2 linked regions of the Mus musculus genome follow. The protein of the gene in region 1 binds, or shares a complex with, the protein of each later gene. Links are inferred from orthologs where the notes say so. Each region holds a gene or a part of one and is shown in the gene's direction. Other genes may lie near its edges.

What was found. The genes of interacting proteins can lie anywhere in the genome.
Region 2: the proteins of Nxf1 (region 1) and Nxt1 are in contact, whole or in part, in a crystal structure (PDB 4WYK), measured with the Homo sapiens proteins. The link is inferred for Mus musculus from reciprocal best matches to the Homo sapiens genes NXF1 and NXT1. Residues at the interface, in NP_006353.2 of Homo sapiens: Ala366, Pro367, Thr368, Thr369, Leu370, Pro371, Pro372, Cys373, Lys374, Gly375, Tyr377, His411, Gly413, Cys415, Cys416, Ser417, Leu418, Ser419, Ile420, Pro421, Phe422, Arg440, Asn441, Val442, Lys443, Lys444, Lys446, Pro448, Thr449, Arg451; in NP_037380.1 of Homo sapiens: Phe6, Lys7, Val10, Asp11, Cys14, Glu18, Thr44, Val46, Trp47, Asn48, Gly49, Asn50, Ala51, Phe61, Met64, Leu65, Pro66, Ile72, Ser73, Val74, Val75, Asp76, Cys77, Gln78, Pro79, Val80, His81, Glu83, Ala84, Thr85.

What each region holds. Positions count from the first base shown.
Region 1 is NC_000085.6:8,763,543-8,767,111, forward strand, and holds part of Nxf1 (nuclear RNA export factor 1), read left to right. Parts: coding exon 1-74; intron 75-154; coding exon 155-259; intron 260-373; coding exon 374-454; intron 455-537; coding exon 538-607; intron 608-718; coding exon 719-807; intron 808-956; coding exon 957-1,064; intron 1,065-1,379; coding exon 1,380-1,489; coding exon of another isoform or gene 1,490-1,733; exon of another isoform or gene 1,734-3,254; coding exon 3,255-3,291; intron 3,292-3,537; coding exon 3,538-3,569.
Region 2 is NC_000068.7:148,671,330-148,675,440, forward strand, and holds the start of Nxt1 (NTF2-related export protein 1), read left to right. Parts: upstream 1-1,285; 5' UTR 1,286-1,506; intron 1,507-3,134; exon of another isoform or gene 3,135-3,269; intron 3,270-3,952; 5' UTR 3,953-4,011; coding exon 4,012-4,111.

The sequences.
Region 1 (3,569 bases):
GTAGAAAGTATGACAAAACGTGGCTTCTGAGCATGATTCAGAGCAAATGCAGTGTCCCCTTCAATCCCATCGAGGTAAGACAGAGTTAGACCTGAAAGGCTGTGGAAGGACCTGTGGACTCCAGATTGAATGTTGTTTGTTTTCCTTCTTCCAGTTTCACTATGAAAATACACGGGCCCATTTTTTTGTGGAGGATGCCACTACTGCTTCTGCATTAAAGGGTGTCAACCATAAGATCCAGGATCGAGAAAACAGAAGGGTATGTGGACAAGGGCCTGGTATGGCACAGTTGGTGCACTAAAAGGGACTAAGTCTTAGTGCTGGTGATTAGGCTGCCCTCAATTATGTTCCTGCCTTTCTGTCTTCTCTTCAGATATCTATCATCATCAATGCTTCTGCTCCACCCTACACTGTACAGAATGAACTGAAGCCCGAACAAATAGAGCAGCTCAAGGTAAGGCTGGCTCAAGTGACATGGTCCAGCAGACTTTCAATCTCCATCAGTGACGACTAAACCCTTCGTTTTCCTTCTTCTAGCTGATCATGAGCAAACGATATGATGGCAACCAACAAGCACTTGACCTCAAGGGGCTCCGCTCAGACCCAGGTATGACTGACAACAATGGTTCTGACTAATTGGAGAGGGGAAACAATTGGTCTTTATAACACTGGTATGGGCAAGACCTCTCAGACTTCCTTTTCTTTCTATTTGCTACAGATTTGGTGGCCCAGAACATCGATGTTGTTCTAAACCGCAGAAGCTGTATGGCAGCCACCCTGCGGATCATTGAAGAGAACATTCCTGAGGTGAAGCTTTTTTTTTTTTTAATTTTAATTTAATTAACTAATTATTTATTTATTTATTTTTGCATTAAAAATCAGGGTGAGATGTGTAGGATAGGATGAGATACAGATTTGCCCCGTGGTAACACATCTAAACTTTGTTCTGTTCCTAGCTATTGTCTTTGAACTTGAGCAGCAACAGGCTATACAAGCTGGATGATATGTCTAGCATTGTGCAGAAGGCGCCAAACCTAAAGACCCTAAATCTCTCCGGAAACGAAGTAAGACTGACATCTAGGGTGCTTTTGTTTTTAATAGTTAACTGACTATGGAGGTGGAGGTCAGACTGTGTTGGGAGTTGAGTCTTTCCTTCTACGTGGGTTCTTGGGCTGTGATGCTTATGAGGTGAGAGCTCCTGCCCACTAAGCCATCACACTGACCCTGCTGTGTTTCTGTGATGGTGGAGCCAGGAGAGTGTGGCTGGCCATAGTGGGAAGCAAGAAACAAAACTTAGGTAGGATTTAGAAGTGTGGGAATCCAGCTGCTATTCTTAGTAAGGTCTGTTTCTTCCCTTTTACTCTCCTCATCCTTCACAGTTGAAGACTGAGCGGGAATTAGACAAGATAAAAGGGCTGAAGCTGGAAGAGCTGTGGCTTGACAGAAACCCCATGTGTGACAACTTCGGAGACCAGTCCAGCTATATCAGGTCAGTTGTAGCCTCTGTCTCCCCTCCTGGGGACATTCACCCCTGGGAGGCTGAGCTCATGCACCCTGACCAGTGCCCGTCTACAGGAGAACATGCAGCCCTGAGCTGGAACCACCTGTTCTTTGGGAGGAGGATCATGTATTCCTTTCTGCCTGTCTGTTGTCTCCTAGCTCTGTCCCAGATCTCTTCTTTCTTCTCACCTGACTTCTGTTCTCTAGTTCTGGCCTTTCTCCTTCTTTCTTGAACACAGCCTTTTCTAGAATCTCCCTACCTGTTATTCCAGGAAGAGCACCTCCCCTTTTCTGTTCTGATGTGGAGGTGTCTTATATATGCCCTACCTGTGTGTTTGTCTTCAGCAAAAGCCTGGTGTGCTTAGGCTGTGAGAAAGTCCTTTCTTACTGGGGCTGTCTACTGAGACAGGCCTTCCTTTGTCCTTTCATGGTCCCTCTTGCCGTTGTACCAAGAGGGACTCTTTATTTTCATGATCCACTTAGCCAAGGCTGTGGCCTGGTCCTTTCTGCCCATGCTGATGTTGATGCCTCTTGGAGGCTGGTACCATGCTATTGGTCTCTCTTGCCCAGTGCTGTGAACTGGGCCTTTCCTGGAGAAGAAATCTGGGTTTCCCTAAGATGTGATCAAAGCCGGGGCCCCGCCAGCAGGCGAGGGGGATCCCAAGGCAAGTGCTGGGCGTGGAGGCCACAGGGGCATCTGCTACCAAGGAGACAGAGAAATGACCCTGTCGGGCACAGCCCCTCCCTCACTCGCACACCTCACAGTCACCCTGCTTGGCCCCGAGGATGGCTGGTTAGCCAGAGACGGGTAAGATTCCTCAGGGAAGGAACAACCTAAGACAGGCACAGTCGCAGAGGGGCCATCAGGAGAGAACTTGGGGGCCAACTGAGGTGGGGCACAGACCCTCACCCCCCCAACTCGGCAGAGGCCTGAATCCTCATGTCTTCTGAGGGAGGTTTCCTGGCCCCATGGCTACTTTACCTCCCACGCCCAGCTTAGACCGGGACCCAGAGAGCAGACAGAGACCTGGCCAACAGCAACTGCAAATCATTATAGGATTTATTCTTCATTTCTACCTTGGGACCACAGGAAAAGGGCAGCTGAAGGAAATGGCTGTTTCAGGAGGTCTTTCTTTCTGCCATTCTTTTCTGAATGCCTCTGCCTTCAGGTCTGTCCCTGTTGCTTTGCTTCCTCTTTGTCTCTCCATTTCTCTCTTGTTCCTGCCCTACCTTTCTCCATTTCTCTTTCCCTTGGTCTCTTTTCTTTCCTCCTCCTTGAGCCCTGTCTTGTTCATCTCCTTGCCCCAACATCCTGTGCCATACTTGTGGTGTGTTCTGGTCTTGGCGAAGGCCAGACCTGGCAGAACTGGTGGATACCTGGTGAGGCAGCGGAGCCCCTGGGCTCCAACCCCATTCCCTCCTCCCGGGGCTGCACAGGTGAGTAGGTGGAAGGTAAGGGGGGCAAGGTGGGGAAGGCAGCCCTAGGCTTAAAGCCTGGGCTGAGAGTGCCCTCCTGTGGCACTCGGGATCAGGCAGCAAGACAACAGAGCCAGCCTTCAAGGCAATTAAGAAGGGGGTGCCCCTGGTGAGGAGGGGAATGGGGGTTCTTGTCCCCATGTTTAAGTTGGGGAGGAGTGGGCGATAAGCAGGATGGGATGGGCTGTTCCTCGGGTTTTTGGTGTATTTGCTCCTAGAGCAGCCCAGGAGGCATGATGGCTCTGAAGCGTCACTCACTTCTGTCCCGTTCTTGACAGCGCCATTCGCGAACGATTTCCCAAGTTATTACGCCTGGTAAGTCTAACATTTTGTTCTCAAGAACAGGGACAACCAAGGTCTTGCCTCTATTTTGTGACCACTAATGTGGGTGTGTAGATTTGTTTGAGAATCTGCTAACAGTGGTAATCTTCATCTTAGAAATGCCTGTGGACAAAGTTTATATAGGATCCCTGCACGCTCTCCGTGTCTTTTAGCTTTTCTCTATGCTCACAAATCCAGTCTTTCTTCAGTTTCTCATATTACATTCACTTCTTTTCACAGGATGGCCATGAGCTACCCCCTCCAATTTCCTT
Region 2 (4,111 bases), on another chromosome or scaffold:
GGGGGGAGGGGTGGAGGAGAGGAAGGGGAGAGGGAGAGAGAGAGAGAGAGAGAGAGAGAGAGAGAGAGAGAGATTCTATCCTCTAGAGAACCTTGACGAATACGCTCAACTGTGTCAGTGGCCAGTCCTTTAGAATCAGAGGCATCTCTAATCTCCCAAATTCAAGGGCTACTGAAAGAATAAAGGTCAAGTTCTCCCTCAGGAAAAGTCCTGGGACCTACCACTACTTTATCCCCAGGTTTACTACATATTTTTGTGTAACTACTGCTCCAAAGGCACTTATTCATCCTTGAAACTCAGACTCCAACTTAATTCTTTCAATAATGAAAACTTTTCACTCACTTAACTCCAGTGGGAAGTGACCTATATTGAACAGCCATTCTCGTTTCTTAAATCTAAAAACAAATGTTCCCTTAGTAACATGAGCAAAAGGAGCCGAGAGGTTGGTAACAAAATACAGATTAAAGTACTTAATTGAACAAAGCCACTTACAAACAGCTCTCCTAGCCGGGCAGATGAAGCAAAGAATCAGGTCTCAGCAAAGTTAGCTCTTTGGGTTTTGATACACGAAGCAGTTTCCCAATTTCCCACGCGAAATGGCTCCATTTCTATGCTAGGTATCTAGACAGCTCCAGATTAAAACAAATTCAGTGTCTTAAATGAGGTGGTACTGCGCCGCAGCTGGAGCCAGCAGGAAACTCAATTTGCACTGCATAGAAAGTCAACTACCATTGTCCCCTTGCCCGCCTCTTCGACCTCAGTTCTCACTAGACTAAAATTTGTTCTCTTATAAGTTCATCTGCTTGTCAACTCTAAGTAGCTTCACCTTAGGAAGGGTGCGCTCAGCTAAGATATTTGACCATATTTGACCACAAGGACTTCCACAGACTCTCAGATTTAGCCTTCCACCGGGTTCCTACACTACGGGTGTCTATGTGCTGGGTTCAGTCCAGAGCCTTATTGAAGCCATGCTGTTGTCTCCCTAGTTAGCATCAACCAGTGAAGCTCCACGTTGAAGCTTCACGAGTCTCCACAAGATATCATCCCAACACACACAGAAGAAGGGAGCCAGATCTAGCAAAGACAGATATCTCTTATTAACCAAGCCTTCCACAGCTAAGCGCGTTGACTCCACCCTCTCCACAACATCCAATCAGAGCTCCCTCAACCGGATCTTCTAGGATAGTGCCTAACCCGGAACCTACACTGTCTTTGCCGCCACACCTGGGCGGAGCCAAGTTTTCTACTGGCTCGCGTAGCTGCCCGTCGCGGGGAGGCGGGAGTCGACGGGAACCGGGATGCTAGCGCCTGCGCACATTGCAGCTTGCGGCGCGCGGGAAGCCACTACCGGCGCTTAACCGTTCCTCGCCTCCTGGACGTCGGCTTCTCAGGCGGAGCCTCTGGGAGGAAGAGGAGAACAGGAGAGAAACTCTTCTGGCCCGGGACCGCGACCGGGGCGGAACCCGGGACCGAGTCGCCTTGGCGGCGCTGACCGAGATCGAGCAGGTAAGTGAGCGCTCCTGCCTGGCCGTCTGGCAACGCCGCGGCACCAGGGACCTCTTCCCTTTTCTTAGGCTCAATAAGACATGGATGTTGTCCTTTCCTCCACGTGGTGTCTCTGCAACCTGGCATCAGGCTTTTTTATGTGCAGAACCGTGGCGGTGAGTTTGCCATACCCGGAGGAGAGCAGCAGTTTGGGGCCGGGGGATGTAAGAAGCGACTCCCAGCTGGAAATGAGGCCCGGGGCACGGCTGCCGTTTCTGAGGTCCAACTCCAGGAAACTACAGTATGAACCATGGGAGTGGAGCATCTTTCTGACTCTCACTCTACTATGTTTCGGTCGTACTGCTCTCTCCTTAAGAGAGAAAGATGACCGGGTTCTGTGGGTAGCTGAGGACCAGAAATAGGGGTGATCATCTTTGGGGGCGTGACCAATGTTAGGGCGAAGCATTGTGGCCTAAAGAAGTGGGGATGAGGTGGTTGGACAGAGAAATATGGTTACCTTGGAGAACATTGTTAAGCCAGCATCCCTAGAGCTGTTTTCATATAGAACTGCTTTCAAAAAAATCCTGGAACTTAGTAAGCATAGCTCTGACTCCCTTGCTTCCGTAGAATGAAGCAAGTAAGTTTGTAACTCTTTTTGTAAAGTTGTTACAGTGACTTGTGCAATGATGATTGAGGGAATGTACCTAAACTACTAAGCAAACAGCACTTCAGATTGATTGTTGAGTCGGAGGACCTTGGTGAGAGAGTGGCAAGAGCAGTATCAAGCTGGCTCCGAATTCATCTATAGGGCCAGCTTCCTCCTTGCTCTGTGTGGAATCCATCGTTCATAAACTGATAAGCTTAAAAAAATGAAACCGGGCATGGTGGCGCACGCCTTGAATCCCAGCACTTGGGAGGCAGAGGCAGGCGGATTTCTGAGTTCGAGGCCAGCCTGGTCTACAAAGTGAGTTCCGGGACAGCCAGGGCTACACAGAGAAACCCTGTCTCGAAAAACCAAAAAAAAAAAAATGTTGGCCCAGGCATGGTCGTGCACACCTTTATTCCCAGCACAAAAGGCAGAGGCGGATGTCATGAGTTCAAAGCCAGTGTGGTCTACATAGAAGTGGCAGAAATACATAGAGAGAACGTGTCTCAATAAAATAATAAAGGCTCTTGAAATGAAAAAGCATGTGTTCACAGCTTAAAGTTTTAAGCTTACTCTGTAGAGACCCTGTTTCTGGAAATTGGCAAATAATATAAATTACTTGTGTCCTATTTTCAGTAATATTGATCAGTACTAGGTTCTTTTAAGTGGAAATAGTTAACCATAGAAAAAATTAGCAGCCATTCCTGTTGTAAAAAGAAAAGCCATGCTGCTTATGTGATGGAACTTTAATGTTTTAAGGAACTGTGATCTTCCGGAATCTCCCTGAGACTGTTTGAATGCTAGAGCCTTTCTGCTATGGTGTCATGGCCCTGCTGGTCTTAAATGGTGGCCATTAATGCTGAAGACATAAATTCTAGTTAGTCTTGGGTTTACTTGTTATGGGCATTGTAACCACTGTCCTCCACTCTCCTGAGAAATATGCCATTCCCTGCATCTTCTGGGTCCTTGTTGGATTATTTCATGGTAGTCTTTTCCCATACAGGCACCTGCTCTCCTTTGTTGGGTCAGTAACCACTCACTTCTACAGCGGGAGACACAGGTTTTACTAAGATGAGCCACACCCTGGTTGCCTAGGGGCAGTCACACCTATCCACGCTTTTAGGAAAGCAGACTTCAGGTATCAAATGTACTTTAATAATTATAAATGGATTTTAAAACCCATTGTAAGGTGAACATATTGGACTTTTTTTTTTGACCAAGCTTACTATTTAGCCCAGACTGGTCTACAATTCCTGTCTCAGATTCTCCAGTGTGCTCCACCACTCCTGACTTAAAGTCCCTAACTCAGTGCTGGATGTGGTGGTGCACTGTCTAGTTTAATTTTCTGTTCCTTTTTTTTCTTTTTTCTCTCTCTCGAGGAAACTAAGGATTGGAAAGATGAAATAGGTAGCCATTGAGCTGACTGCCTTTGATTCCAGATCTATATATCATGACCCTGCCTTTAAAATAAATAGGCTTGAGTCTGAGCCTGAAGTCATCTGCCTGTAGTATGTAAATGTTCTGTTACCTATAGAAAAATAGGGTTGGGAGCTAGATGGGTCAATGGGTAAAGGTGCTTTCTGTCAAACCTAACGACCTGAGTTTTTGATTCCTCGGAGGCATGAGATGGTAGGCAGACATGGTAGGCAGGCAGAGAGGACTCTTGCCTGGTCTCCTTTGACCTACAATGAGCCATGGCATGCACCAAATCACATGCACACAAACACTATTTTAAAAATTAAAACTTGAAAGAAAACTTTTCTCACGGCAGAATAGACTTTGAAATTCACTTGTGTTCACTTGACCTTTGCTGTCCTACAGTCCCTGGATCCCTAAGGAGGAGGCGCTCAGGCGGAGGCCTCTTGTCAGCAGAACCAGAGATGGCATCAGTAGATTTCAAGACCTATGTGGACCAGGCCTGCAGAGCTGCAGAGGAATTTGTCAATGTCTATTACACGACTATGGATAAGCGGCGTCGGC